Anolis sagrei: one gene and its partner. The protein of the gene in region 2 purifies or fractionates together with the protein of the main gene of each other region. This does not show direct contact. Links are inferred from orthologs where the notes say so. Each region holds a gene or a part of one and is shown on either strand. Other genes may lie near its edges.

What was found.
Region 1: the proteins of NMNAT2 (region 2) and FBXO45 purify together in Homo sapiens (co-immunoprecipitation; 3 studies listed by BioGRID and IntAct, with this or other methods). This does not show direct contact. The link is inferred for Anolis sagrei from reciprocal best matches to the Homo sapiens genes NMNAT2 and FBXO45.

Annotation. Positions count from the first base shown.
Region 1 is NC_090023.1:226,405,506-226,421,877, reverse strand, and holds the start of FBXO45 (F-box/SPRY domain-containing protein 1), read left to right. Parts: upstream 1-7,366; 5' UTR 7,367-7,451; coding exon 7,452-7,832; intron 7,833-13,141; coding exon 13,142-13,498; intron 13,499-14,887; coding exon 14,888-15,073; 3' UTR 15,074-16,372. Other genes in the region: SMCO1 (single-pass membrane and coiled-coil domain-containing protein 1), read right to left, coding at 1-62; WDR53 (WD repeat-containing protein 53), read right to left, coding at 3,813-4,385, 5,415-5,894. UniProt on the Homo sapiens protein: Component of E3 ubiquitin ligase complex consisting of FBXO45, MYCBP2 and SKP1. Functions in substrate recognition but also plays an important role in assembly of the complex.
Region 2 is NC_090024.1:122,632,547-122,648,983, reverse strand, and holds the start of NMNAT2 (nicotinamide/nicotinic acid mononucleotide adenylyltransferase 2), read right to left. Parts: upstream 6,595-16,437; 5' UTR 6,443-6,594; coding exon 6,358-6,442; intron 1-6,357.

The DNA of each region.
Region 1 (16,372 bases), on a different chromosome or scaffold from region 2:
AGGAAAAGGTGAATCTGAATGCCGGTTGGCTGGTTGATCTTTTTCCAGCAGGCAGTGGCCATACACACAGAAGGTACAACATGAATTGAAGGTCAATTTTCACTTCAAGCTTTTTATAGACAGGACATCCAAGTATAGCATATTAACACGTGCCTACAAGCACATTATTTACTAGAATGTAATTGGTCAGCTGCGACAGGTTTCTGTTGCAACATCTGAAATAAATATGATTTTCTTTCATGCAAAAGTACACGATGGTTTGAATTATATTAAAGTTCCAACTAATTAAATGGGATTTGCATAAATGTTAAACTCATGCTTCAACAGGTCTATTCTATTTGGGACTACAGTGGAGTCTCGCTTATCCAATGTAAACGGACTGGCAGAACGTTGGATAAGCGAAAATGTTGGATCATAAGGAGAGATTAAGGAAAAGCCTATTAAACTTCAATTTATGTTATGATTTTACAAACTAAGCACCAAAACATCATGTTTTACAACAAACCAAGAGAAAAAGCAGTTCAATACACAGTAACGTTATGTAGTAATTACTGTATTTATGAATTTAGCACCAAAACATCACAATATATTGAAACAGCTGTGGATCTGAGCGGGAAGCAGACTGTGTTGCATAATATAGAACATTGTATGAGTGAAGAATGGATAAGCGAGACTCTATTGTATTACTGTATTAGGTTTCAATCAGACAAATATCTGTCAGGATCAAACTGTATTGAACTTGGTTGAGACTTACTTCTAAAATGTATTTAACATTGTGCTGTAACCTTTAGCTAGTGTTTGATTAAGGTACCAGTACATTAGATTAATATTAAGGTGCTTGTGGCAGGTTCAATAGATTAGTGGTTCTCAAACTATCTGATGTAGGGCCCAGCAATTATGGTATTTTTTCCCAGTGTTCCAGAGACTGGCACTACTTTTTTGTCCCGTTCTGTCCCCCCCCCCCCCCCCCCCCAGTAAAGTTAAATTAAACATTTACAGTACAACACATTCTGAGCCACGTTCTAAAATGTTTCGATAGATTAATTGATGAGAGCTAGAACACTGGAATATGATACAAAGTGTCATATTTGCTAATAGTGCTTGTTCATTATTTGCAAGTTTGTACAAGTCATAGTTTCTTGTTGCTCAATTGCTGCCACTGCATATTTTTGAAAAAATTGTTTAAACTGCTTGTTTTGGATGGAATCCTAGATTTCCAAACAGGAGCCCACCAATGCTGCAGTGTTAAATACACTTCTGAGCTCACTTTACTGCCAGACTCCATTGTGAACCTTAAAGGGTTAACAAAATCCCAATTGAGAGTATTGCCTCCTGTACAGCACAGGACTTCATTTTAAGTTTGCAATATACCAGTTGTTATTTGCTCTGAAATACTGACTACCATTAGCTACTGCCCTCCAAACCCCACCTGGAAATGTATTTTAAACTGTAGTTAGCAGTTAGAGTGAGCATAAATCCTTCAAAAGTTGACTTTGCTATTTTGGGTATCATGAGTAGCATATTTATTTATTTTTCAAGTTCCAATATATACCTTCTCTTTGCTATTCTGTCAAAACAATAAATCCCGAAACTTTTTGTATTATACAAAATAGACTTTAGTGTCAAGTGTTTTTAGGTATGTTTGCAAACTTCCTTGGATCTCAAATAAAGTCTCATCAATTGGTTACTTTAATTTCCTAAATTTCCTTTAATTTATATACAAAGAAGGGCATATGTGGATCAAGAGTTTTTTCCATAGTTGATTCCTTCTAACTGAGGTCGGGGTTGGCCCCTCCCTGCTCTCTTTTCAGTGGCAGGTGAAAACATTATTATTCAGGCAGGCATTTGAACAGTAAATTTTAATTGTAGTTTGTATATGGAATTGGTGCGCTGTTTCAATGCTTTAATCCAGTGGTTCCCAACCTGTGGTCCGTGGACCACCAGTGGTCCATAAGAATAAAAATATGGTCTGTGGTACTATTACTACACCGTTGCCTCAAAACCACACGGCAACGAGAGCAACTGGTCTTGAAAAGCCCTCTTATAGTGCCAAGGCAATGGGAATGTCGGGAAAGGAGATGCTGACTACCCACAAAATATCACTACTACATCAGCTCTAGATTATTAAATATGGTTTTCTGTGGACGAGCAGATGGCGACTACTGGATGGCATATGCTCTGTATCAGAAACTAGAGCTGATGTGGTCTATCCAATGCCATTTTCTGAATCAGCACCCCAAATAACCAAACCAAATCTAAAGTTGACCAAAAACGGATTCGTAACCCTGTTGGTACTAATGTTGGAGACTGGTCCCTGGTCAAAAAAAGGTTGGGAAACACTGCTTTAATCCTTTGTACTTATTAGTATTATGCCTTAAAATATTTTTAAAATGTTTTAATTGTAAGGATCATGTTAAGAATATTAATTATTTAATTTATTCATAATTTTTGTAATTTGATGTTTTAATGTTATTCCTTTTAAATTGTTGTTAGCTGTATTGGATCTTACTTTGCTAGAAAGGCAGACTATACATTCAATAAGCAAAATGGATAAATAGAATAACAAAACAGTTGCTTGCTTGAAAGATCAGTATTCTTATGGACAAAATCTTGAAAGTGCAGCACTCTGAGCATAAAACATTCATTTATTTTCAAAATGTGGAGTAAAATTATAGTTTAAGCTTCAACTACTGTATTTACTCCAATTTAATGCTCACCTTTTTGGCAAATTGACCTTGGCAACATTGGGGGTGCTCATTAGTAATTTTAGTGCTGAGCAAAAGCAAAAGGGGAAGCTTCAGGAGCTGTATCTGGAGCTCCCCTTTGAGGAACACCATCTCTAATTAAATGGCCAGGGCTCAATGCTATGTAATCCTGGGATTTATAGTTTGGTAAAGCACCAGCATTATTGGGCAGTGAAGGCTCAAAACGTCAAACTACAGTCCCAAGGATTCTATGGCATTGAACCAAGGCAGTTAAAGTGGATTCATTTTACAGCATAGATGCACTCCAAGGTTTTCTTTTCCATTGCTGGAAGCTTTGGTGTTCCAGCACAATTGTTTACAATGAAGGAATTCTCAACAGGCAGAAACCATAATGCGTATCTTTTTTGGCCAAATTACAAAGAGTACACTTTAGGCTACTGTGCATTACATTGAGCAGTAAATACATTTTTTAGTTTCAGGGTTTTGACAGTTTTGACGGTGCATAAAACTCAAGCAAATATGGGTATCTAATAAGTAAATAGTTGTTTCAACAGCACCAAGTGAAATTTAATGCAAATCTCCTTAGAGAAGTCATCAATTCTAACCAAACAAATAGTGTTTGAAGAAGCCAAGTCTATGAATAGATAAAATTATTTAGGAACTTAGAATAGTTTTATTTCCAGTACACATTGAGGAAACAATCTACACGTGGATGCAATCTGTATAAGTTTTGTTCAAGCTCTGGACATTAGAAAGGCAGATAGTATCTAAGTAAAATAGAATTATTTCTGTGGAAGTCAGCCACTTTAGGCATAGGTATATGAAAAGTTTTCAGGCTTACAACGGGTGCAAAGATGTGCAGGCTTTGTCTTCTTTTTTATCAAGGCAAAGATATTTACATATATTTATAACCAAAAGTTTGTACTGCCAGTTCGTCAGTACAATCATACCAGGTTTAACCCAAGGAATCCCATTACCGATAGAATGAATTGGGTTTATCAACTATTTTAAATTATTTATTTGAGGTAATAAAGATGGTGCTTCCAAAAAAAGTCCTAAACAGGTAATCCCTGTATACCAAGGAGTCAGTTATCTAGTTAGATATGTTTAAGACTCAGTAATAGGATAGACAGATATACTGCTAGACTGATCGGCAACCAATACTCTCCTAGAACCTTTAATCTCTGTGAATGAAATCCAGTTCACTTTCTCTCCATGCTCAATGGTTAGTTTGGGTGAAAAGCCCACAGAGCCACTTGTAAGCTCTGTGTCTGATTTATCAACTGTCTTGGTATTTGACATCTTAGTCTTCCTTCTGGGGATGGACTTGACTGGACTCTTCAGCTTTCTTACTTCATTGCTGATGTCCCACAATAAAACTTTGCCGTCATTTCCTCCTGTAATGAACTGGTAGGATTCTGGTAAAAAGTAAACCTGTGACACTCCTAAGGAGTGGCCCTTAAATGCCATCTCCTGTTCAAACTTAGAACCAACTACCCGGAAGATTCTGATTTTTCCATCTTCAGCTCCACAACCAAAAATATTGCCACAAATAGACACTGATAGAGAATGGACCAGGGGTGGGTTAAAGAGCTGGCCAGCCGACTGCTCATCTGCTGCCTCTTCTTGCAAGTTCACAACCCACAGTGGGCGAGCTTTCTGCAAGTTCCACATCATGACCTTCAAACAAAATAAATCCAGAATTATTTTATAGTGTAAAGAATAAACTATAAACTTGAGTGTAAGCCGACCCGAATATAAGCTGAGGCACCTAATTTTACCACAAAAAAACGTGGGGAAATGTATTGACTTGAGTATAAGCTGAGAGTGGGAAATAGTAAATTTCAAAATAAAAATAGATACCAATAAAATTATATTAATTGAGGCATCAGAACATTAAATGTTTTGAATATTAACATAAAACTGTAATTTAAGATAAGACTATCCAACTCTGATTAAACCATTATTCTAACCTTTTAAAATGTAAATGTGTTTATGTATTCTTGCAATAATAAAGAGAGTAAAATAATAAATGTAATAATAATGATAGGCTATAATAACAAATGTAATAATAATAGAGTAGAGTAAAATAATGTAAATATAGTAATAATAGAGAATATTTTTCTCTATTATTATTATTACATTTACATTATTTTACTCTACTCTATTCTATTATATAATAATAATAACAACAGTAAAATAATAAATAACTTTGACAAATTTAAGCTGAGGGGGGCTTTTACAGTCTAAAAAAGAGCTGAAAATTTCAGCTTATACTTGAGTATATACGGAATACATTAGAGAAATGTCACCTTTGTGAAACTGTATGTACAAATTTTAAGGTTTCCCTTGTGATGTCCTGTTTCCTGAATAACCATCTAAGATACATCTCAAAAGGGTTACTTCTCTCTACACTATAAACCAAGAGGAGAAAAGTACGGGTTATCTAGTAACCAGTTTTCTGAGAATTATTCATTTTTCCATGACTTGCTTGTTTTAGCTTGATTGACACTCACGTTGCCAATTTACAGATAATGCTTTCTTTCTTGAGAATGGAATGTTTGGAAGGTCTGTTATATCTACTGGCATATGCGACTCTCTCAAACATATTAACATAATACATTGGAAAATAAAAATATATTGAATACCTTTCTGTTCACATTTAGCCAGTATACAACATACATTAAACTTTCATATATTGCTAATCACCTTCATATCCATGCCACATGAAAGAAGGCTTTGAGGCCTCTGAGGTCGAAACACTGCAGATGAACAAATATTTGAATGTCTTCTCAGGCATCGACTTAACTTCTTGCTTTCCAAGTCAATTATCTTTATTGCTCCAGAATCATCTGCAGCAGCTAAGAAACTGTCTGTTTCATTTACTGAGAGACAATTGATCTCTTCCTCATTTACATGGAAATGTTCTACTGGTTCCTTGAGACATCTGGTATCCAAGACGCTAACAGTCTCCCCATGAGATGCATACAGTCTCTTTGGAAAGGTGGGAGAAAACACTACGCTGGTGATGTCATCTGTTTTATGGAGCTGTGCATGTTCTAATGGTCTCCCTTCCTCATTCCAGATTGTAAGTTCCCCTCCTTCTGCTCCGGATGCCAAGAGGCCATCTTTGCTCACATTCAAACATAGTATTGAAGAAGAGTGTCCACTGCTCCACTTCTCTGCCATAGTATTTTAAGATACTGAAAACAAAACAGACATTGGTTAGCAACATAATGGTTATGCCTATCTGTTGGAGTAAGGCAGTATGAAAGAGTGGATAAATTATATTCATCCCAAGATACTAGCTACTCCAAGAGATAACACCTAGTGATTACAAACACAAAAACTTAAACACTAACTATACTGCCATAATGAACATCACATGGGCCAACAAATTAAATGGTGGCACATATAAGAACAGGAAAGGCATGTTGTTTACATCTTCCCTAAGTATTTAAAGCCAATTTAATTTTATAAGAAAATGTTACTCCACTATGAGTCAAAACAGATATTGTGGGATTTTCTGCCTTGATATTCTAGAATATAGGAATGTGTAGAAGGTCACCAGAAAGAGAACTTACTACTGAGATAATTTGAAGAAAAATCTAAAGTTCTACTGAGTTCTGCAAGTGCTGCTTCTACATTCTTAGAGATGAAGCATTAATGGTGCTTTGAGAAGGCCAAAATAAAAGACTATTAATCACCAACAAGAAATAAATGGGTTACGGCTGAAAAGAGCAACTGATACGAATTGATGGCATAGAAGTTTTGAAATCCTTGATGACACTTGGGTCCCTTCTACACTGCCATATAATCCAGACTATCAAAGCAAATACTTCACATTACCTGCTTTGAACTGGATTATATGAGTCTCCACTGCCATACAATTCAGGGCCCTTCCACACAGCCCAGAATATCAAGACAGAAAATCCCACAATATCTGCTTTGAACTGGGTTATCTGAGTCCACACAGCCCTATATTCCAGAATATCAAGGCAGGAAATCCCACATTATCTGAGTGTGGACTCAGATAACCCAGTTCAAAGCAGATATTGAGGGATTTTCTCCCTTCATATTCTGGGATATAGGGCTGTGGAAGGGCCCTGGGTTATCCGAGTCCACATTGCCATATTTTCCAGTTCAAAGCAGATAATGTGGGATTTTATACAGCTGTGTGGAAGGGGCGAGAGCTCAAATAATGGAGGGAGGCCAGACGCGCTTAAAGAGACAAGCATTTACCTCCAGTCAAACAACACCTTTCTAAAAAAAAACCAACACAGCAAACCTTTCTCTTCCTCTGACAGAAGGCACACTAACCTTCTCTTCCGGCGAGGAGAAATGACGTCACCCTATTATGACTCTCTTCCCAACACTGACAGGTGCGAGTCCTGCGCATACAATAAGAGCCGGCGATAACATTTACCCTTACTTAATATGGCTGCCTCAGCTTCAAGGCCTAGATCATTCGAATATTGATAACGGAAGTAAGTCTCAGCTGAGTCGCTTTGGCGGGAGAAAGAGGGAATTACAATTACTCCCGCTGCTGCTCTCAATCTGTGCCTCTCAAGTAGAGGGTCCATCTCCTGAAGCCGCTTTAAAGGGCGAAACTTCACACTTCCGCCCTTCGTTGTTGGCTTCGAGGGGGAAGAGGTGCAGCAACGGGCCTCTTCCTCCCAGCTGAGGGCAGGAGCGGATTGGTCCGTTGTTTGGCGGCTCTGCTCGGGGCGGCCGCCGGCTGTAGGGATGGCGGCGGCGGCGGCGGCTGGAGGAGGAGGAGGAGGAGGGAGCGGCGGCAGCGGGCCGAGTTCGGCGCCGGTGACCGCGGCTTCTGCGCCTGCTGCTCCTTCTTCCGCCGCTGGCTCCGCGGCCCCGGCTGCTGCTGCTGCTGGTGGTGGTGGTCCTGCGGGGCCCGGCTGGCGTCTGCCCGGGCGCGTGCTGGAGCTGGTCTTCTCGTACCTGGAGCTGCGCGAGCTGCGGAGCTGCGCCCTGGTCTGCAAGCTCTGGCACCGCGTCCTCCACGGAGACGAGAACAGCGAGGTCTGGCGGAGCTTGGCCGCCCGGAGCCTGGCCGAGGAGGCGCTCCGCACAGACGTCCTCTGCAATGTGCCCAGCTACAAGGGCAAGGTCAGGCCCAGGGAGGAAGGGAGGGAGGAAGGGAAAGAAAGAAGGGGAAGAGGGAGATGGGAGAGGGAGGGAAAGGAAAGGGAAGGAGGGAGGGAAGGAAGAATAGAAAGAAGGAAAGGAAGGAAGGGAAAGAGGGAGATGGGAGAAGGAGGGAAAGGAAAGGAAAGAAGGTAAGGAACTAATGAGGGGGGAAGGAAGGAAGGAGGGAAGGAAGGGAGAATAGAAATAAGGAAGAAGAAAAGGAAGGGAGGGAAGGAGGATGGGGGAGGGAAAGGAAGGAAGGAAAGAAGAAGAAGGGAAGAAACTGATGAGAGGGAAAGGAAGGAAGGAGGGAAGGAAGGAAGAATAGAAAGAAGGAAGAAGAAAAGGAAGGGAGGGAAGGAGGATGGGAGAAGGAGGGAAAGGAAAGAAAGAAGAAGAGAAGGAACTAATGAGGGAGGGAGGGAGGAAGAATAGAAAGAAGAAAAGGAAGGAAGGGAAAGAAGATGGGAGAGGGAGGGAAAGGAAGGAAAGAAGAAGGGAAGGAACTAATGAGGGTGAAGGGAAGGGAAGGAAGGAGGAAAGGAAAGAAAAGGGGGAGGAGAGAAGGAAGGTAGAAAGGAAGAATGGAAAGAAGGAAGAAGGGAAAGAAGGAAGGGAGGGAAAGAGGGAGATGGGAGAGAGAGGGAAAGAAAGGAAGGAAGGGAGGGAAGGAACTAAGACAGGGAAAAGAAGGGAAGAAAGGAAGGGAGGAGAGAAGGAAGGGAAAGGGAAGGCAGGACAGAGGGAAGGAAGAATGGAAAGAAGGAAGGACGGAAGGGAGGGAATGAGGGAGATGGGAGAGAGAGAGAAAGGAAAGGAAGGAAGGAAAGAAGAAGGGAAGGAACTAAGGCAGGGGGAAGGAAGGAGGAAAGTAAAGAAAGAGGGAAGGATGTAAGGAAGGAAGAATGGTAGGAGGAAAGGAACTAAGGAGGGGGGAAATAAGGGAAGGAAGGAGGTGAGAAGGGAAAGGAAGAAGGGAAGGAAGGACAAAAGGAAGGGAAAGAAGGAAAGAAAGAAGAAGGATATAGGAGGGGAAGAAGGAGGGAAGGGAAGGAACTAAGAAGAGCGAAAGGAGGGAAAGGAAGGAAGGAAAGAAAGAAGGAGAGGATCTAAGGAGGGAGAAAGGAAGGAAGGATAAAAGGAAGGAGAGATGGAAAGATGGATGGAAGGAGGAGAGAATGGAAAGAAAGAAGGAAGAAGGGAAGGAAGGAAGGATAAAAGGAAGGGAGATGGGAAGGCGGGAGGGAGGGAAGAAGGGAATGAAGGAAGGAAAGTAGAGGGGAGAAGGGGGAGGGAGGGAAAGGAAAGGAAGGGTTAAGAAGGAGGGAAGGGAAGAAGGAAGGAACCCCAGTTGCATCAACACTTGGGATTGAATGAATGGGCACCGCTTGAACTGTCATGGCTCAGTGGTATTTGGGAGTTGTAGTTTTACAAGGTCTATAGCATCCTCTGTCAAAAAGTGCTGGTGCCTCACCAAACTACAAATCCCAAGGGTGCCATTTCACCGGAGAACAAATGCAGTTTGACACCATTTGAACTGCTGTGACTCAGTACTAGTCAGGAGTTGTTGCTTCATGAGTTCTTTAGCCTTCTCTGCCAAAGAGAGCTGGTGCCTCTCCAGACTACAACTCTTATTGCTCCATAGCATTGAGCCATGGTGGGTCAAGAGCTGCAAGATTCCACTAATTTTACAATGTAGAATGAAATCCTGGGAGTTGTAGTTTGGTGAGGTGCCAGCTCTTCTTTGACAGAGGAGACTAGAGCCCTTGTAAAACTACAACACGGGATTCTATGGGATTGAGTTGTGGCAGTTCAAGTGGGGTGAAACTGGCATAATGATATATACAGCACAGATGCATCTAAAGTCTTTTTTTTAGAAGAACTGTTCAGTTAATTGTGTCCTATTGATTTTAATTGATTTATTCTAAGCAGTTATTGTTTGTAGCTTGGCGTGTTCACATAGCTAAGACAGGTTAAATAGATGCATCCTTAGGCAGAAAAAAATTGAAATGTACAGATCCAGCAAAAGATAAGATCAGCTTCGAGGAAGGAAGGGATGAGCTTGCTCCCTCTCTAGTGGTGTGATCTAGTGATTGACTAGAAATAATTCTAAATACCTCATAAAAGTAGTGGAGCCACTAGAAAGTTGAAATGGAAAGAAGTGTGTCTAACTCGGCTATAACCCAAATTGCTCTTAGGATAGAGCTCCAATTCAGAACGAATGCAGTTTGAAATCACTTTAACTGCCAGGACTCAATGTTTTGGAATCCCAGGAGTTGTAGTTTGGTGAGGCACCAGCACTCTTTGGCAGAGAAGACTTAAGATCTTGTAAAACTACAGATCCCATGGTGCCATGGCAGTTACAGTGGTGGACTATTGGTTTGCTTTCAGGCAGTCCCAAAACATAGAAATAATATTTGGGGTTTGTTCTGTGACTTCTCAATGAAGTGCAGCTTATCTTTCGCCCTTGCTGACCTGCCTACTTGTCGGTAGTGTGGAAACACCCCTTAAACACAGGTTCTGTAGATGTGGCACCTCCGCCCAGCTGTTGGCTGTGGGCCAAGAGCCTTTATGTGTATGATTTGGGAGGCTAAGTTTAAGCAGGTACAGGCTGAGGATCCCTTCTCCAAAATGTATGGAATCAGTTGCATTTGGATTTAAAAATTGTCTTTTTTTGAAGGGTTTTTGGAGTACCAGTATTTGCATATGCAGGCAATCCCCAAGTTACAAACAAGATAGATTGTGTAGGATTGTTCTTAAGTTGAATTTGTTTGTAAGTCAGAGCAGGTACATTTTTAGTGTAACTCCAGCCATATCTATCTATCTGTTTATCCTTTAGCTTTGGATAGCATAGGGAGGTGTTTGTTTTGCTCTCTGTGCTGCTGTTCAGAAGATGCCACCATACTTTCTGTCCCTGCAATAATTGGATTTTGAAAAAAATTAGCTTGTTGTGGAAACAAGGATTGGTGATACAGCTTCAGTGGAGACACCTTTCCCCCGTGATAACCCTTTCCAGACTGAATTTCCCTTCCAAGGGGTTGATTTCTTTTACTTCCTGTGTCTCACCCCTGTTTGTAACTATGAGTTGTTTGTAAGTTAGATGTTTGAAACTCGTGGACTGCCTGTATATACATAATGGTATATCTCGGAGCTGAAGTCCAAATCTAAACACAAAATTCATTTCTACTTCATATACTACAACATCATATCACCAGTGTTAATTTTATACACAATATTTTTCAACAATTTTGTGCATGAAACAATGTTTGTATACACTGAACCATCAGAAAGCAAAGGTGTGACTATCACAGCCACCCATTTGGACAATTTTGGGGTATTTTTTATTTCTGAACAGCTGCAAAATGGAGTGGAAGGAAGACAGGGCTCCTTCATCAGCTCTAAGGTTCCTTCCACACAGCCATGTAACCCAGAATATCAAGGCAGATAATCCACAATATCTGCTTTGAACTGGGTTATCTGAGTCCACACTGCCATGTTACCCAGTTTAAAGCAGATGATATGGGATTTTATACAGCTGTGTGGAAGGGACCTAAGAGGCCAGCTTCCTTTGACTCCTCACCATGTTGTTTCCATTTTACCTGGAAGAATTTTACATTATGAATCAGTGCCTCCCTATTTTTCCCTTTTCTCACTTTGTATGCAGGCTTTTAGATTATAAGACTGGGTACGAAGACTGTTGTCCTTTTAAAAAACACGATTGCCTCTTTGGGCTGAAGAGTACAGTATAGTCCTTTGGAATAAATGAAATATACAATAACAATTGTTTGCAAAATCATTTTTGAAACGGCATTTACCTGAAAATATCTCCTTCCCAAAAAGCTTGAGAAAGACCTCTTTTTAAAATTAAAATTGGCTTCTTCTGGACAGGTTCTTCTTTTCTTTCTTTTTTGTGTCAGGAGTGACTTGAGAAACTGCAAGTTGCTTCTGGTGTGAGAGAATTGGCTGTCTGCAAGGATGTTGCCCAGGGGACGCCCAGATGTTTTGATGTTTTACCATTCTTGTGGGAGGCTTCTCTCATGTCCCGGCATGGGAAGCTGGAGCTGATAGAGGGAGCTCATCCGCACTCTCCCGGATTTGAACCTGCGACCTATCGGTCTTCAGTCCTGCCAGCACAGGGGTTTAACCCACTGCGCCACCGGAGGCTCCATTATTTTCTTTCTGAAAGGGCTTGATATTTGGCAGAACTCTGTCTCAGAGGTACTGATACAGTTCTGCCAATGGTGAAGTCTGTGGTTGTGCATATCTGTTACTTTCCTCTGGTATTCTTTCACATGTTGGCTTGTCATAAAGTAAAACACATTTCTGAATTTCCCTCATTCAGATTTTTTTATACGTAGACCTGGTGTTGATGGGTTTTCAGTTATTGTTTTCTCTTAATTAACTTGCCATCTTACATGTACTTCAAATTATGTGATACTTAAAATACGCTTTTGGGCAGGCTGTTTATAACCCTCGGTTTGTTTAGCTAGTATGTAATTTGATACCAAATGAGCTGTCGCTTTTAGGGAGAAATATAATATTTTTCCTAATGTCTTCTTTGTGGTTGTGGTGGTAAATTATTAATCCCCTATCTTCATGTTCTGTATCAATTTGAAGTCTTCGAAATGCAAACTTTTATTTTCTCCCCCTTTATCTTCATTGTGCTTTGAATCTTTTGCCTTTAGGTCTTAGTTCAAATTGTAGTGCTAAGATTGAGAGAGAGAGAGAGAGGAGAGGAGAAAGATGTCATCCAATAGACTGGAAAGTAAACAGAGCTAGTGTTTATTCCTTTAATAGTAGTATTATTTATGGGGACCCCCAGTGGCACAATGGGTTAAACCGCTGAGCTGCTGAACTTGCTGATTGAAAGGTTGCCGGTTCGGAGCAGGGTGAGCTCCCACTGTTAGCCCCAGCTTCTGCCAACCTAGCAGTTCAAAAACACGCATATGTGATATTGCTTTGGGGGGAAGGTAATGGCGCTCCATGCATTCAAGCCGGCCACATGACCTTAGAGGTATCTACAGACAACGCCAGCTCTTCGGCTTAGAAATGGAGATGAGCACCAGCTCCCAGAGTTTGACATGACTGGACTTAATGTCAGGGGAAAACCTTTACCTTTACCTATTACTATTTATTCCATTAAATATCAATGTAAATGAGGAAATAATGATACTATCTATGAAGAGAATAAATGTAAACATCAGTATCATTTCCAGGCTTTGCATAGTTAGACAATCTTATCTCAAATTCTTTACCTTTTTTTCAATATCCCTCTTCCCCAATATTAGGTACGTGCCTTTCAGCATGCTTTCAGCACCAATGATTGTTCTAGGAATGTCTACATTAAGAAGAATGGGTTTACTTTGCATCGGAATCCCATTGCCCAAAGTACAGATGGAGCCAGAACAAAGATCGGCTTCAGCGAAGGCCGCCATGCCTGGGAAGTCTGGTGGGAAGGTCCTCTCGGCACCGTAGCAGTAATTGGAATTGCAACAAAGCGGGCTCCCATGCAGTGCCAAGGTTATGTGGCCCTCCTGGGCAGCGACGACCAGAGCTGGGGCTGGAATTTGGTGGACAATAACTTGTTGCATAACGGTGAAGTAAACGGCAGCTTTCCCCAATGCAACAATGCCCCAAAATATCAGGTGAGTGAGTTTTGCTATTTCCAAATGTTTACTGGAGTTGTGAACACTTCTGTCTTTGATCATTCCTGCCTAGCTGGTTATGATGACTTCAATCCAATTGTTCGTCTAATTGAAGTTGGCTCACTGAACCAACAAAATTTACATACAGTATTTACTTAACAGTTCAGTTATTGTTTCATTGGGTCTAGTCTATCCAAGACTACAAATTGGATGCAGACCAGTATGTTTTATTTAGGATTTAGCAATATGCAAGTTTACTTATGTTTTGTTTATTTTATGCTTATGTATTATTTATTTTATGTGCATCACCCTGGAGTGCTTATGTGAGCCTCCCAAATCCCTTCAGGGAGATTGTGGTGGGGTATAAATTAAAGTTGTTTATTATTACTATTACTATTATTATTATTTGAGAACATCCCTCAGAGATCGGTGGGGCATACTCCTAGGTAATGTGTGTAAGATTGAAATCCAACTGATGTTAAAGTTAGTGCCATTATTTTCCCAGGTTGGCACTGCACTTCCTTGAATATTTCTATTCACCCTGCCCTTGTTCCCCCACCTAATCCCTTTCTAGATTGGGTTCCTGAGCTTCAGGCTGACCCCTTAGAATTGGCCTGTGGGTTTGTTATGGTAGGCCTGACCTGACTTTATATCAGACTTGATAGAGATAGCAAGAAACAGTTTTAAAAGCAGAATAGCAAATTGAAGTTTCTTCAAACACAGGATGACAACACATTAAACAGAATATTTTATTTTTTGAAGCCTCCTCCAAAACCAGTGTGAGTTCTCTCTTACCACAGACTGTTCTGTGTCTATTAAATCCAAATTTGATTCTTTTAAAGCCCAAACATCTCTGCATCAACTCCAGACCTTGTATGTTTCAGAAAAGGCCTCTGTTTTTGTTACATCCACAGCTCACCTTCACAGCGTCCCAGATCTGTCCAGCAATTTCTTCACAAAGCCCTTGTATAAATAGTATAAATAGTGCTGGAATAGTTTTGAAAAGCAAAATACCTTTCAAATTCAAACAACAACAACACTTTATTTATAACCTGCTCTCTCTTCCCAAAGGGACTTAGGGTGGTTTACAGGAATAATAAAATGGCAAACATTCAATGCCAAAACTAAATAGACAATCAAAACAAAACATAGAGTGAATAAACTCAATATAACTTATAACAATCAAAGAAGAATTAACTCATGAAAAATCATACCAATTAATATACAATACCTTAAAAGCACAATGTAATATAATATAACATATAGTGTAACGTATCAGCGAGCAGAGGTAAGTATCTGTTGTTAGGGCTTATGAAATGTGTTAGCTGTAATACTGGCCATCATTGTCTCATTCCTTTCCCCTCAACCTTTTCCATTTTTGCTTTATAGATAGGTGAGAGAATTCGTGTCATCCTGGATATGGAAGACAAAACATTGGCGTTTGAGCGGGGCTACGAGTTCCTGGGAGTTGCATTCCGAGGACTGCCAAAGACATGCCTGTATCCAGCAGTATCTGCAGTGTATGGCAACACTGAAGTGACATTAGTTTATCTGGGAAAACCTTTAGATGGATGATATTCTTGTTTTTTTTTCTAAAAACAACCGGGACATGAAAATCAAGTTGACGATACAGGGACGCTTGTTCAATGGTTAATAAGGAAACATGAATGAAATGCATGGATGTATGTCCAAGAAACATCCAGGAGAACCAAAACCTGTGTTCTAGAAGGCCAGCTGCATGGATCAAGAGTGCATAAGCATTTCCTTTTTCTGCCAGACCAGAAAATTCCTCAGGGGGTTGCAGTTTGTTGTTGAAAGGCCGTTAACCGCATGCATGTTGCATAAAATTTTGTTGCCAAGGTGGCAATGTGGAATCCTGTACATATTTAAGGAAGTGTTTAATAGATACAGTTGAGGAAGATATCCAAGATGTGTGAGTCTTGTGTGTTGTGGAAAAGCTTTCAATTTTAGAACTATTTGTTCTTTCCTGCCTTTGATTGGATGTGTTTTACCAAAGGTTAGGTTTTATTTAATATATTTTAAATGTATTTACAAGGTGTGGTCCATGGACTATGCTTCTCCAGATCTAAACATTGTGCAGCTACACTGATGTGTATTTTAAAGACTGTTTATACAGAACACTTAAAAAATTCCTGCAAAACTAAGGTTTGCTTTTGCTCTGAATGAGATATAATTTCTTAAATGCAAAAAAACCACTACATGTCAAATATCAGCTTTTGTTGAAGAGATGGATAACATATATAAGTGCACTTCTTCTGTTTTGTTGTTCATCTCTTGTGATGATTTGACTAGTGTAAAATGGCTGAAATTTGATAGTCAGAACAGTGTGTGTTCATATACGTAAGGGGAAAGTCCATTTTGACAAATTAGGTTTTCAAATTGGTACCAAAATATCTAGGATATTTTAGGAAAATTATTTTCTGAGTAATTTCTTATAAAAATTATTATAAAAGATTGAAACCATTAGCTTACATAATTTGAAATTGCGCTCACATTTCAAGCTGATGAACTATTTCACATGTATTAAAACTTAGTTTTGAGACTGAAAAGTTTTCCTGAGGAGATAATGTGCCAGTTCAGATGAAATGATAGATCAAAGTTCCAGGGGAACCTTGCTTACCATGTAAAAGCCACATGTCTGCTGCCCACCTCTTCCCATGATAAGCAAACCAGGGACATTGTGACCTTTCAGTGTTATGTGTGAATCAAGAATTCTAGTTTGCCTCTCGTTGTTGATCTAAGTTATAAGTCACGGTTTGTTGTTGGCGTGTTAGAGAAAAAACAATTTGTACATTATGATGAATAAACTACATATGACTCCCAGTATACTCATTTGCTCCCAGTTACTGGAGG
Region 2 (16,437 bases):
AGGACAATGGGTTTATATATCTGTGGAATGGCTGGGGTGGGGCAAGGAGCTCTTCCCTGCTGCAGTTAGGTGTGAATGTTTCAGCTGATCACCTTCATTAGCATTTGAAGGCCTGCCTGAGCCTGGGAAAATCTCTTGCTGGGAGGTGTTAATCTGTGCCTGGTTGTTTCCTCTCTGTTGTTTTGCTGTTGTAATTTTAGAGTTTTTTAATACTGGTAGCCAGATTTTGTTCATTTTCATGGTCTCTTCCTTTCTGATGAAATTGTCCACATGCTTGTGGATTTCAATGGCTTCTCTGTGTAGTCTGACATGGTGGTTGTTGGTGTGGTCCAGCATTTCTGTGTTCTCATATAATATGCTGTGTCCAGGCTGGCTCATCAGGTGCTCTGCTATGGCTGACTTCTCTGGTTGAAGTAGTCTGCAGTGCCTTTCATGTTCCTTGATTTGTGTTTGGGCAATGCTGCGTTTGGTGGTCCCTATGTAGACTTGTCCACAGCTGCATGGTATACGGTAGACTCCTGCAGAGGTGAGAGGATCCCTCTTGTCCTTTGCTGAACGTAGCATTTGTTGGATTTTCTTGGTGGGTTTGTAGATTGTTTGTATGTTGTGTTTCCTCATCAGCTTCCCTATGCGGTCAGTGGTTCCCTTGATGTATGGCAGGAACACTTTTACTCTGGGTGGATCTTCATCTTTACTCTCGTGGTTTGTTCTTGGTCTTGATGTCTGAGGTGGAGTCTCCATTGGCCTGGAGAGCCCAGTTGAGGTGGTTCAGTTCATCTTGGAGGAGGTGGGGTTCGCAGATTCTTTTTGCACGGTCTGCCAAGGCTTTAATGGTGCTTCTTTTTTGACTTGGGTGATGGTTGGAGTTTTTATCTAGATATCTATCTGTGTGTGGGGGTTTTCTGTAGACGGTGTGACCCAATTGTTGACCTGGTTTGCGGATGACTAGGACATCTTCCTTCATTTTCTTTTTCCATGGTGAACTGGATTTTTGGGTGGATGCTGTTAAGATGGTCCAGGAACCTGTTGAGTTCTTCTTCTCCATGGCTCCAAATGGTGAAGGTGTCATCCATATATCTGAACCATATCGTGGGCTTTTTGGTTGCTGTCTCCAGGGCTTGTTCTTCAAAGTGTTCCATGTAGAAGTTAGCTATGACCGGGCTGAGAGGGCTCCCCATAGCTACTCCATCTTTCTGTTCGTAGAATTCATTGTCCCACTGAAAGTAACTGGTGGTGAGGCAATGGTGAAACAGAGCTGTGATGTCTTCTGGGAACCTCTGGTTGATGAGTGCCATGGTGTCTGCTACCGGGACCATGGTAAATAGAGATACCACATCGAAGCTGATCAGTTTGTCGTTGGTATTTAGCTTGAGATTGCTGATTTTTTCTATGAAGTGGGCTGAGTCCTTGATGTAGTGTGTAGTGAGCTCAATATGGCTTTGTAACTGTGCAGCAAGAAATTTTGCTAGGTCTTATGTGGGGGATCCAATGGCACTCACGATGGGTCTGAGTGGTGTGGAGTCCTTATGGATTTTTGGGAGTCCTGGGTGGATGGGCTTCCAATTTACATAGCTGTTGTCATATGTCAAAGTTTATTGAGGAGTTCTTAATCAGAGTGTTGGTTTTCCTGGTTATTTTGGCAGTTGGGTCTTGCTTCAGTTTTTTGTATATAGTAGGGTCCAGGAGTTTTCTGATCTTCTCCTTGTATTGTTCTGTATGCATGATTACTGTGGCATTCCCCTTGTCTGCTGGCATAATGAGGGTATCAGGATCTGAATTCAGTTCTCTGATGGCTTGTCTTTCCTTCCTAGTGATGTTACTGGAGGGAAGTTTTGCCTTTTTCAGGATCCTTGCTGTTTCTGCTCGTACTTCTTCTGCTTCCTCCTCGGGGAGGCGATAAATTGCTGATTCAACATTGACAATGATGTTTTCTACTGGGATCCTGGTGGCGGTTAAAGCAAAGTTTCCTCCTTTCGCTAGTATGGATACTTGGTCTTCAGAGAGTTGTCTGTCTGTCAGGTTGATGATGGTCCGTGATGTATCCAGTTCTGGTTTCGGCTGTTGCTTTTGGCGTTTGTGGAATTTTTGTTGGGATTGTGGAATTTTTGTTGTTAATTGGGATTGTTGTTGTTGTGTGCCTTCAGGTTTTTCCAGACTTAGTGCAACCCTAATGTTTAAGACATGGGTTTAGTAAATAATATTGGAGGTCCGCATCCAGCCTGCGGGACTTACTTTGGGGATCTAGGCAGTAGAGAAAACCCCAGATCTGAGTCAGTCCTGTAGCATCATAGAATCATAGAATCATAGGGTTGGAAGAGACCTCATGGGCCATCCCTCCAACCCCCTGCCAAGAAGCAGGAAAATTGCATTCAAAGCACCCCCAACAGAGGACCATCCAGCCTCTGTTTAAGAGCTTCCAAAGAAGGAGCCTCTACCACACTCCAGGGCAGAGAGTTCCACTGCTGAACAGCTCTCACAGTCAGGAAGTTCTTCCTAATGTTCAGATGGAATTTCCTTTCTTGTAGTTTCTTGTAGTTTGAAGCCATTGTTCCGTGTCCTAGTCTCCAGAGCAGAAGAAAACAAGTTCCAATCCAACCCCCTGCCAAGAAGCAGGAAAATTGCATTCAAAGCACTCCCAACAGATGGCCATCCAGCCTCTGTTTAAAAGCTTCCAAAGAAGGAGCCTCCACCACACTCCAGGGCAGAGAGTTCCACTGCTGAACAGCTCTCACAGTCAGTAAGTTCTTCCTAATGTTCAGATGGAATCTCCTTTCTTGTAGTTTGAAGCTATTGTTGGCAGACAGTCCTTGAGAAATAGAGGCTGTTTCCAGGACTGAAGACACATGTCCAGGCCTTTTATTGTAAGGAAAGATGCGGACTGGCCCTCAGGAGCAAACATAAATCAATTTTTAACATGCAAAACTTGTGCATTATTTATCATTCTGTGCCTTTCTCCATCTAGCAAACGGGTGCAGAATTTCGTCTCTGGCTGTGTTCAAAGATACCAAAGGAATCCTACCAACAGGATTGTTTTTCCAAGCAGCTGGGCTGTATTTAGAAAGTGAAAATAAAGGAGAGCAGCAAGACATTCTCCCCTAGGAATCTTTGCTGTCTCTGTTGTTTTTGTAGTCACGCAATTGGGTCCCCTTCCTCTTATTTCCTTTTTTTAAAATTTGTCTTTCCTATTTTTGTCTCATGGATTTCTCAATGAATGAGATGCTTAACTTAAGCATCTGCCACAACTGCACAGTAGAAAAGTTACAAAGGCAAATGAATTGTAGCAACAAACAGGCTGTGAAGTGAAGGAGACTACTCATTTCCTATTGTCAACCACAAAGCCATTTCAGCACCTACAGCTGTGGACAGCAAACACGCTAACACTTCCTGCCAAGTGAAAGCATGCAAACAGCCATCAGGACGATCATTTCCTACAGACGCCAAAGATACATGTGCACAGGTAGTTATTAGTAGAATCACGATGTTACTACCATATATATTTTCAATTGTAAGATGCCAATGATTGTAAGACACATCCTAATCAGTACAACCACCTCCTCTAAAAAATTATACTGTCTAGCACCACCTGACATCCACTGGGAAGTAGCAGCCAATAGTGAAAGGACCAAGGCAGTGACATCTCCAGCTCATCCCTTGTTTGGGTATCCGCCAACACGTTGACAACTTAAATCAAGAAATAGTTTTCTAAGATCTACAGAGACACTCGCTGGAACACCTCAGCAAGCGAGAGTCCAAAAGTGGCAGGCTCAAACCCAGAACCTCAATCAATGGCTGATACCAAATGAGAGACTCCCTCCTGGGCACACAGAGGACTGGGCGACTTGGAAGGCGCTGAACAGACTGCGCTCTGGCACCACGAGATGCAGAACCAACCTTAAGAAATGGGGCTACAAAGTGGAATCCACGACATGCGAGTGTGGAGAAGAGCAAACCACTGACCACCTGCTGCAATGCAACCTGAGCCCTGCTGCACGCATTTTCTTATAGTAACACCAGAGACACTCCAAGTGGTCAGCTACTGGTCAAAGGACATTTAATCAACTACCAAGCTTGCAAACTTTGTGTTTTGTCTGTTTGTTTGTTTGTTTGTTTGTTTGTTTGTTTTGTTAAAAATGTAATACAACTGTCTGGTTGCTCCTGACATGATAAATAAATAAATAAATAAATAATTCTTTGTTGTAGGTTTTTTGGGCTATATGGCCATGGTCTTAAGGCATTCCCTCCTGACGTTTCACCTGCATCTATGGCAAGCATCCTCAGAGGTAGTGAGGTCTGTTGGAACTAGGAAAAATGGTTTATATGTCTGTGGAATGACCAGGAAAGCCTTTGACAATCTATATAAATAAAAATGTAATGTTCGTTTGTGATATTAACAGAACTCAAAAACCACTTGGACACAAGACACCTAACAACCAAATGTATGCCCTTCACTCAAAAAAATTGCTTTTTCCATTTGGGAGTTGTAGTTGCTGGGAATTATAGTTCACCTACAATTAAAAAGCATTTTGAACCCCATCAATGATAGAATTGAACCAAACTTGCACACAGTTCTCCCATGACCAACAGAAAATACTGAAAGGGTTTGGTGGGCACTGTCCTTTGGTTTTGGAGTTGTCGTTTTCCTACATCCAAAGATCACTGTGGACTCAAACACTGATGGATCTGGACCAAACTCTACACAAATACTCAATATGTCCAAATGTGAACACTGGTGGAGTTTGGGGAAAATAGAATCTTGGCATTTGGGAGTTGTAGTTGCTGGGATTTGTAGTTCACCTACAGTCAAAGAGCATTCTGAACCCCACCAATGATAGAATTGAGCACTGTGGACTCAAATACTGATGGATCTGGACCAAACTCTACACAAATACTCAATATGTCCAAATGTGAACACTGGTGGAGTTTGGGGAAAATAGAATCTTGGCATTTGGGAGTTGTAGTTGCTGGGATTTGTAGTTCACCTACAGTCAAAGAGCATTCTGAAGCCCACCAAGGATAGAATTGAACCAAACTTGCACACAGTTCTCCCTTGACCAACAGAAAATACTGGAGGTGTTTGATGGGCAGTGTCCTTTGGTTTTGGAGTTGTAGTTCCCCTACATCCAGAGACCACTGTGGACTCAAACACTGATGGATCTGGACCAAACTCTACACAAATACTCAATATGTCCAAATGTGAACACTGGTGGAGTTTGGGGAAAATAGAATCTTGGCATTTGGGAGTTGTAGTTGCTGGGATTTGTAGTTCACCTACAGTCAAAGAGCATTCTGAACCCCACCAATGATAGAATTGAGCACTGTGGACTCAAATACTGATGGATCTGGACCAAACTCTACACGAATACTCAATATGCCCAAATGAGAACACTGGTGGAGTTTGGGGAAAATAGAATCTTGGCATTTGGGAGTTGTAGTTGCTGGGATTTATAGTTCACGTACAATCACAGAGCATTCTGAACCCCACCAATGATAGAATTGAGCACTGTGGACTCAAACACTGATGGATCTGGACCAAACTCTACACGAATACTCAATGTGCCCAAATGTGAACACTGGTGCAGTTTGGGGAAAATAGAATCTTGGCATTTGGGAGTTGTAGTTGCTGGGATTTGTAGTTCACCTACAGTCAAAGAGCATTCTGAACCCCACCAATGATAGAATTGAGCATTGTGGACTCAAACACTGATGGATCTGGACCAAACTCTACACGAATACTCAATATGCCCAAATGAGAACACTGGTGGAGTTTGGGGAAAATAGAATCTTGACATTTGGGAGTTGTAGTTGCTGGTATTTATAGTTCACTTACAATCACAGAGCATTCTGAACTCCACCAATGATAGAATTGGGCCAAACCTCCCACACAGAACCCCCATAACCACAGCAACGCATGGCAGGGGATGGCTAGTACAGTAATAATGAAGGTGGGCCTCTCCATTGCCCAAGCAAGCCATTCCTGATTCCAGTAGCCAATGGGCCAACCTCTCCCCAAGGGGAAGGCTGCCACCCTCTTCCAGATGCCCTCCACTACACAGGCTGGCATCCCTTCTGCTGCAGCTTCCTTCTGCTGCCATTTTCATCCCTCTTCCTCCTCCAAGGTAGCCCTCCCCGCCTGAAACATCACAAGCACCCCTCCCTCTTGAGGTTCTCTCTGCCCTTTTCCTTGTCCCGCGATGGCTCCGCGCCAAACCCTTCCTCCCTGCTGCAGCGATCCAGGCCTCTCCTCTCCCCCCCCCCCCACGCCCCCATCAATCACTCCTCTCTTCTATCCCTTGGCCTTTCCGATCCTTTCTTTCCCATCCTTTCCTCTCCTTCCATCCTTATGGGCGGTGGACTCACCAAACATCTGGATGTGGCCCTTGGTGACTGGGTTGAAGCTGCCGCAGGCCAGCAGGATGACGTGGGTCTTGGTGGTCTCTGTCATGGCTCCTTTCCCTGAAAAGGCGGGTGTCGATAGGTTTGGGGGGGGGGGTCTTTGTCGGAGCGCTTTCTGGGAAGCTCTCCGGCGCGCCTTGCTTCTTTTTGTGTGTGTTTCTCGGTGCGCCTGCAGAAAGAGGGAGGGAGAGAGGGAGGGAGGGGGCGAGGACGCCAATGACGTCACTGGCTCCCTAACACCCCCCCCCCCCTCTTTAACGCCTTCATTGCCAGGAAGGGAAAAACAGAGGGGAGGGTTATATTCATAGAATCATAGAATCAAAGAGTTGGAAGAGACCTCATGGGCCATCCAATCCAACCCCATTCTGCCAAGAAGCAGGAATATTGCATTCAAATCACCCCTGACAGATGGCCATCCAGCCTCTGCTTAAAAGCTTCCAAAGAAGGAGCCTCCACCACACTCCGGGGCAGAGAGTTCCACTGCTGAACGGCTCTCACAGTCAGGAAGTTCTTCCTCATGTTCAGATGGAATCTCCTCTCTTGTAGTTTGAAGCCATTGTTCCACGTCCTAGTCTCCAAGGAAGCAGAAAACAAGCTTGCTCCCTCCTCCCTGTGACTTCCTCTCACATATTTATACATGGCTATCATATCTCCTCTCAGCCTTCTCTTCTTCAGGCTAAACATGCCCAGCTCCTTAAGCCGCTCCTCATAGGGCTTGTTCTCCAGACCCTTGATCATTTTAGTCGCCCTCCTCTGGACACATTCCAGCTTGTCAATATCTCTCTTGAATTGTGATGCCCAGAATTGGACACAATATTCCAGGTGTGGTCTAACCAGAGCAGAATAGAGCGGTAGCATGACTTCCCTGGATCTAGTCACTAGACTCCTATTGATGCACGCCAAAATCCCATTGGCTTTTTTTGCCACCACATCACATTGTTGGCTCATGTTTAACTTGTTGTCCACGAGGACTCCAAGATTTTTTCACACGTACTGCTCTCGAGCCAGGCATTGTCCCCCATTCTGTATCTTTGCATTTCGTTTTTCCTGCCAAAGTGGAGTATCTTGCATTTGTCCCCATTGAACTTCATTTTGTTAGTTTTGGCTCATCTCTCTAATCTGTTAAGATCATTTTGAATCCTGCTGCTGTCCTCTGGAGTATTAGCTATCCCTCCCAATTTGGTGTCGTCTGCAAACTTGATGATCATGCCTTCTAGTCCGTCATCTAAGTCATTAATAAAGATGTTGAACAGGACCGGGCCCAGGACGGAACCCTGCGGCACTCCACTCGTCACTTCTTTCCAAGATGAAGAGGAAGCATTGGTGAGCACCCTCTGGGTTGCTCACTAACAGGGACTCCGGGTGGGCATCATCATCATTACTTACCCGCCTCTTCTCAAGGCTTCAGCAATCTCAGCAATCCCCAAACCATCTAAAACACAGACATGTGCCTTTCATCTCAAGAACAGACAAGCACCCCGAGCTCTGAGGATTACCTGGGAAGGAATCCCACTGGAGCATTGCAACACACCCAAGTACCTGGGAGTCACTCTGGACCGTGCTCTCACCTAGAAGAAGCACTGCCCAAACATCAAGCAAAAAGTGGGTGCTAGAAACAATATCATACGAAAGCTGACTGGCACAACCTGGGGAACACAACCAGACACAGTGAAGACATCTGCCCTTGCGCTGTGCTATTCTGCTGCTGAGTATGTATGCCCAGTGTGGAACACATCTCACCACACTAAAACAGTGGATGTGGCTCTTAATGAGACATGCCGCATTATCACGGGGTGTCTGCGCCCTACACCACTGGAGAAATTACACTGCTTAGCCGGTATTGCACCACCTGACATCCGCCGGGAAGTGGCAGCCAATAGTGAAAGGACCAAGGCAATGACATCTCCAGCTCATCACCTGTTTGGGTATCAGCCAGCACGTCAACGACTTAAATCCAGACATAGTTTTCTAAGATCTACAGAGACACTCGCTGGAACGCCTCAGCAAGCAAGAGTCCAAAAGTGGCAGGCTCAAACCCAGAACCTCAAGCAATGGCTGATACCAAAGGAGAGACTCCCCACTGGCCACACAGAAGACTGGGCGACTTGGAAGGCGCTGAACAGACTGCGCTCTGGCACCACGAGATGCAGAGCCAACCTTCAGGAACAAAGTGGAATCCTCGGCATGTGAGTGTGGAGAAGAACAAACCACTGACCACCTGCTGCAATGCACCCTGAGCCCTGCCACATGCACAATGGAGGACCTTCTTGCAGCAACACCAGAAGCACTCCAAGTGGCCAGATACTGGTCAAAGGACATTTAATCAACTACCAAACTCACAATTCTGTATTTTGTCTGTTCTTTTTGCTTTGTTCTGTTAGAAATGTAATATAATCGACTGGTTGCACTGACACGATAAATAAATAAATAAATAAATAAATAGCAATCTCAGCTGACCAAGGATGGGTACAGAAGGATGTCCCAGCAGAGCTACACCTGCCTGCATCCTGGGATCCACCCCATCTCTCTCTATATCCCCAACTATAGAAATATATAAACACAGATACAAAGGTACAGCAGAGATGGCAACCCCAACCCTGTCTGTATCCCTATCTATAGCAAGAAAGAAACACCCATCTATCTTCTATATAAATAAAAATGTAATGTTAGTTCGTGCTACCATCAGAACTCAAAAACCACTGGGGGAATTGACACCAAATTTGGACACAAGACACAAGGGAGTTGGACTGGATGGCTTTCGGTTGTTGTAGGTTTTTCCGGGCTATATGGCCATGTTCTGGAGGCAATTTTTCTCCTGACGTTTCGCCTGCATCAATGGCAAGCATCCTCAGAGGTAGTGAGGTCTGTTGGAAGTAGGAAAAATTGGTTTATATATCTGTGGAATGACCAGGGTGGGACAAAGGACATTTGTTTGCTGGGGCTAGCTGTGAATGTTTCAGCTGATCACCTTGATTTGCATTCAATGGCTTGGTAGCGCCTGGGGGGAATCTTTTGTTGAGAGTGGTTTGATGTGCCTGTTTGTTTCCCCTCTGTTGTTTTGCTGCTGTAATTTTTGAGTTTTTTTAATACTGGTAGCCAGATTTTGTTCATTTTCATGGTTTCTTCCTTTCTGTTGAAATTGTCCACATGCTTGTGGATTTCAATGGCTTCTCTGTGTAGTCTGACATGGTGGTTGTGCAAGTGGTCCAGCACTTCTGTGTTCTCAAATAATATGCTGTGTCCAGGTTGGTTCATCAGGTGCTCTGCTATGGCTGACTTCTCTGGTTGAAGTAGTCTGCAGTGCCATTCATGTTCCTTGATTCGTGTCTGGGCGCTGCGTTTGGTGGTCCCTATGTAGACTTGTCCACAGCTGCATGGTACACGGTAGACTCCTGCAGATGGATGGCCTTATTTTCTGTTGGTCATGGGGGTTCTGTGTGGGACGTTTGCCCCAATTCTGTTGTTGGTGAGGTTCAGAATGCTCTTTGATTGTAGGTGAACTATAAATCCCAGTGACTACAGCTCACAAATGTCAAGGTTTGTTTTCCCCAAACTCCATCTGTGTTCATATTTGGGCGTATTGAGTACTTGTGCCAAGTTTGGTCCAGATCCATCATTGTTTGAGTCCACAGTGATCTCTGGATGAAGGTGAACTACAACTCCCAAACTCAAGGTCAATGCTCACCAAACCCTTCTAGTGTTGTCTGTTGGTCATGGGAGTACTGTGTGCCAAGTTTGGTTCAATTCCATCGTTGGTGGAGTTCAGAATGCTCTTTGATTGTAGGTGAACTCTAAATCCCAGCAACTACAACTCTCAAATGATGAAATCAATTTTTTTGAGTGAAGGACATACATTGGGTTGTTAGGTGTCTTGTGTCCAAAATTGGTGTCAATTCCTCCAGTGGTTTTTGAGTTCTGTTAATCCCACAAATGAACATTACATTTTTATTTATATAGATGATTCTAATTGTTGGGTGGAAAGCAGGAAACACTTTTGATCCACCTGTTTATGGAAACAAGCACAAAGGAACCAGAATACCGCTAAAACCTGGCCAAAATGTGGCAACTCAAATCAGGGGACAGAAAAACTTGCCATGGAGGCAGCCGAAGGTACCCAGCAATTACACTTTTTGCTGCTCTTCCCTCTTATGGCTTCTCCTACAGCATACATCATACATGACAGGTTTTCCCAGGGCTTATGCTGGGAATGGATGGAGATGGGTTCCTAAGCTTTAAAGCCACTTTAGACATGGAAATCACACTCTCTCCTCCTTCTCCATTAACCCATTGCTCATCTTTATATTTCCCTCCCAACCTGAAGACCTGGGGAAACACAGCTATTCCCTGAAATTTCTATTGGCACTATTAAACCAAACCAACCTAAATTCTAACATTGGCTTATGCTGTGAAGGAGGTGAATGCTTTTGCAAGTGTGTATTAACATAGCCCATAAGGGGAAGCTGCTTCCGCAAACAGAACCATGTTTTAACCCACTGCTGTTTTTTTTTTATGGTGCCCAGAGGTTTTTCCATCAACCAAAGATCCCATACACATTTCCACTAGTTCTCCATTGAAAAATCTGTCATTTTCTCATTCGTGGCAGTTTCCAATCTTGTGATAGCTTTCAAATTTATGGTTGTTTTTTATTATTATTATTATTTCCAGCATTTGGGGATTTTTGAATTTAGATGGTAAAATTATCTTAATTAGGTTGGAAAGTGTCCAGAGGAGGGCGACTAAAATGATCAGGGGTCTGGAGAACAAGCCCTATGAGGAGCGGCTTAAAGAGCTGGGCATGTCTAGCCTGAAGAAGAGAAGGCTGAGAGGAGATATGATAGCCATGTATAAATATGTGAGAGGAAGTCACAGGGAGGAGGGAGCAAGCTTGTTTTCTGCTGCCCTGGAGACTAGGACGCGGAACAATGTCTTCAAACTACAAGAAAGGAGATTCCATCTCAACATTAGGAAGAATTTCCTGACTGTGAGAGCCGTTCAGCAGTGGAACTCTCTGCCCCAGAGTGTGGTGGAGGCTCCTCCTTTGGAAGCTTTTAAACAGAGCCTAGATGGCCATCTGTCAGGGGTGCTTTGAATACAGTATTCCTGTTTCTTGGCAGGGGGGTTGGACTGGATGGCCCATGAGGTCTCTTCCAACTCTATGATCTAGGATTCTAGGAATCTATGGTCAAATGGAAAAACATCCCTGACTGTCCCTGATTCTTCCCATTTCTTTCAACCATAAGCTTTTCAGGGCAGGGCTGCTACGAGGGGTATTTTTAAAGTATGGTCTGTTTTATTGTAGACATTAGTAGTTCGGGCGCATACCGCAACGAGTGCATGCGTCGTGTACCGGCATGCCTCGGGAAAAACTGTGCTCAGTTTCTGCTCTGTAGCTAACCTCTACGGTTCTGTTCTGTGCTTGAAAAATATTTAAGACTATCAACTCACCCTCCGCATGTGAGGTTCGCTCAGTGATACGGTTTTTGTCAGCAAGGAACCTGCCTGCTGCAGAAATTCATCGACAGATTTGTGAAGTGTACGGTGATACTGTTCTGAGTGAAAGCAAAGTGCGTAAGTGGGTACGACAATTCAATGATGGCCGTGACAACGTCCATGATGAGGACCGCTCCGGTTGCCCTTCTTTGATTTCAGACTATTTGATTTGATCGCACACTCAAATCTTTGGTTTTTGTGGTCCTCTGTTAGGAGTTTTGGGACCCAACAGGAGCACAGTTTCCTAAACTTTTGGTGTTCAGAAACAGTGTTGTAAAGCACTGATCTCGACACGTAAGGAAATTCGTTTTCAGCGACCTGTTATTGTGAAGCGCCTGTTCTCACGAATCCTCGCTTCAACTGAAGCCACCAAATCATCTGTAATCAAAGAAGGGCGACCTGAGCACAGTTGTTCCCGAGGCATGCCGGTACACGACGCACATGCTCGTTGAGGTATGCACACGAACTACTAGTATTTACAACAAAATGGACCATCACGGAGACCTGGTTGGATGAAGCTGGAGGAGTAAATCTGACCCAGCTTTGTCCTCCGGGTTTCTCCGTGCAGCACCAACCTAGATCCGGAGGGCGGGGAGGCGGGGTCGCAGTGGTCTATAGGGATTCCATCCATCTGACCAGGTGCCCCATCCCGCAGACCGCAAATTTCGAAAGCGTCTACCTGAGGGTGGGTGACCGGGACAGTATAGGGATTCTAGTAGTGTACCGTCCACCTCGCTGCACTACAGTCTCCCTACCTGAGCTAGCGGGGGTGGTCTCGAGCCTGGCATTGAAGTCTCAACGGCTTCTTGTGCTGGGAGACTTCAACGTCCATGCCGAGACGACCCTCACAGGCGCGGCTCAGGACTTCATGTCTGCCATGGCAACCATGGGGCTGTCCCAACAAATATCTGGCCCCACCCACTGTGCTGGACACACATTGGATTTGGTTTTCTGCCAGGGATGGGAACAGGGTGGCGGTGTGGAGGAGTTGTCCATCTCTCCGTTGCCATGGACCGACCACTTCCTGATCAGATTTAGGCTCACTGCGCCCCCTAACCTCTGCAAAGGTGGAGGATCCATTAAGATGGTCCGCCCCAGGAGACTGATGGATCCGAATGGCTTCCTGATGGCTCTTGGGGATTTTCCCGCCACCTCGGTAGGTGACCATGTCGAAGCCTTGGTGGCTCTCTGGAATGGGGAGATGACCAGGGCTATTGACATGATTGCTCCGGAACTTCCCTCTCAAGTAGCCGAGCTAAACCAGCCCCTTGGTTTACTGAGGAGCTGGCAGCTATGAAGCGAAGGAAGAGGGAACTAGAGAGCGTGTGGCGTTCGGAACCGAGCGAGTCAAACCGAGCACGGTTTGTGTCCTTTCTTAGGGCATATGCCGCGGCAATAAAGACCGCAAAGAAAACTTTCTTTGCGGCCACTATTGCGTCTGCAAAGAACCGTCCGGCGGAGCTGTTTCGGATTGTCAGAGGTCTTTTAACTCCCGCCTCTGCAGGTGGGAGCCCTGACAATTCGGCCGCGCGCTGTGAAGCATTTGCTCGGTTCTTCGCAGACAAAGTCGCCTTGATCCGTTCTGGGCTGGACGCCGCGTTAGATGCAGACTCTGTGGATGTAACGAGAGCACCTGCTTGTCCTATTTTGTTGGATTCTTTTCAGTTTGTGAAACCCGAAGATGTGGACAAGATACTTGGAGGAATGAGGCCCACCACGTCCATCCTAGACCCCTGCCCATCCTGGCTTCTGAGAGAGGCCAGAGGGGGATTGGCCGAGTGGGTAACAGTGGTGGTGAATGCCTCCCTTCGGGAAGGCAAGATTCCAGCGAGCCTAAAACAGGCTATTATAAAGCCGCTGTTGAAGAAGCCATCACTGGACCCCACTAAATTGGACAACTTTCGGCCTGTTTCCAATCTCCCCTTTTTGGGCAAAGTCATGGAAAGCGTGGTGGCCTCACAACTCCAGGTATTCTTGAGAGACACGGATTATCTGGATCCGGCACAGTCTGGTTTCAGACCGGGGCATGGTACCGAGACGGTCTTGGTCGCCTTAGTGGATGATCTGCGCCGGGAGCTAGACAGGGGGAGTGTGTCCCTGTTGGTGCTCCTGGACCTCTCAGCGGCCTTCGATACCATCGACCACGGTATCCTTCTGGGGCGCCTTGCGGAAATGGGTCTTGGGGGCATTGCTTTGCAGTGGCTCCGGTCATTTCTGGAGGGCCGCACCCAGAAGGTGTTATTGGGGGACTCCTGTTCCGCACCACAACCGTTGACTTGTGGGGTGCCACAGGGTTCCATACTGTCCCCCATGCTGTTTAACATCTACATGAAGCCGCTGGGTGAGATCATCCGGAGTTTCGGGGTGCGGTGTCATCTGTACGCAGATGATGTCCAACTCTGTCACTCCTTCCCACCTGCTACTAAGGAGGCTGTCGAGGTCCTGAACCGGTGCCTGGCCGCTGTAACGGTCTGGATGAGGGCGAACAAACTGAAACTAAATCCAGACAAGACAGAGGTACTCCTGGTCAGTCGCAAGGCCGAACGGGATATAGGGTTACAGCCTGTGCTGGACGGGGTCGCACTCCCCTTGAAGGCGCAGGTTCGCAGCTTGGGTGTGACCCTGGACTCATCGTTGAGCCTGGACCCCCAGGTTTCAGCGGTGACCAGGGGAGCATTTGCACAGCTTAGGCTCGTGCGCCAGCTGCGCCCGTATCTCGGGAAGTCTGACTTGGCCACGGTGGTACACGCTCTTGTCACATCCCGCCTGGATTACTGCAACGCTCTCTACGTGGGGCTGCCCTTGAAGACGGCCCGGAAGCTTCAGCTGGTCCAGCGTGCGGCAGCCATGTTACTAACTGGAGCGGGTAGCAGGGAGCACACAACGCCCTTGTTGTCCCAGCTCCACTGGCTGCCGATTTGCTACCGGACCCAATTCAAGGTGCTGGTCTTGGCCTACAAAGCCCTAAACGGTTCCGGCCCAAAATACCTTTCTGACCGCATCTTGGCCTACGAGCCCACGAGGACCTTGAGATCGTCTGGGGAGGCCCTTCTCTCGATCCCGCCTGCATCACAGGCACGGCTGGCGGGGACGAGGGAGAGGGCCTTCTCGGTGGTGGCCCCCCGGCTGTGGAACACTCTCCCAGCACACATCAGACAGGCGCCCTCCCTCATGTCCTTTCGAAAAAGCCTTAAGACCTGGCTGTTCGAGAGGGCATTTAATTAAGTGCTAAGCAACAACATTACGGTAATGAGAACTGGAATGGTATAAGGAAGATGAGACTGGCTATGATTCTACTAAGAGACGAAGCGGATTTTTATGTAGTTTGTATTTGTCGTATAGTTATATGTTGTTGATACTGGCCTTTGTAACTGTCTTTTTATGTGTACTGTACACCGCCATGAGTCGCCCGTAAGGGCTGAGAATGGCGGTTAATAAGTGCATCAAATAAATAAATAAATAAACTTACTTAAAAAATACCCCTTGTACTTGTGTTACTTATTATAGTCACCACATACATCAGGGATCCTCAAACTTTTTAAACAGAGGGCCAGGCTACAGTCCCTCAAACTGTTGAAGGGCTGGATTATAATTTGAAGAAAAAAAATGAATTTCTATGCACACTGTACATATCTTATTTGTAGTGGACACTAAGATCTTCCGGGGAGGCCCTGCTCTCGGTCCCGCCTGCGTCACAGGCACGGTTGGCGGGGACGAGAGACAGGGCCTTCTCGGTGGTGGCCCCTCGGCTATGGAATGCCCTACCCATTGACATCAGACAGGCCCCTTCGCTGCTGGCGTTTCGGAAGAAGGTTAAGACCTGGCTCTTTGAGCAAGCGTTTGGCTGATCAGTGCAAGTGAACATAGGAAGACGGTATAATTGAACATAGGAATGGCTCAAGGATTACGAGAATGGATTTTGCTTTGTTATCGAGGCATCATGTATTGATAATAATTGTGTATTTTGTTATTGTGTATGATGTGTTTTAACTGTTATTGTTGTGATAATTTACATTGTGTAAACCGCATTGAGTCGCCTAATAAAGCAAATAAATAATAATAATAAATAATAGTGCAAAAAAAACCCTTAAAAACAATACAATAATTAAAATGAAGAACAATTTTGACAAATATAAACTTATTAGAATTTCAATGGGAAATACTAATACGTTTATATTTGTTAAAATATAAACTTATTAAATCCCCTGCTATGCCAGCGCCCCTGGCTGCCGGTCCATCTCCGAGCCCAATTCAAAGTGCTGGTTTTGACCTATAAAGCTCTATACGGTTCTGGCTCAGTTTACTTGTCCGAACATATCCACCCCTATGTCCCACCTCGTAATCTAAGATCATCCAGGGAGGCCCTGCTCTCGCTCCCGTCAACAGCACAGATGCGCCTGGTGGGGATGAGAGACAGGGCCTTCTCGGCTGTGGCCCCCCGCCTATGGAACACACTCCCAAATGAGGTAAGATCCGCTCCCTCCCTCCTGGCTTTTTAGAAAAAAATTAACATCACAGTTTTGGGACCAGGCCTTTGGGCAGTAGAAGTAAATG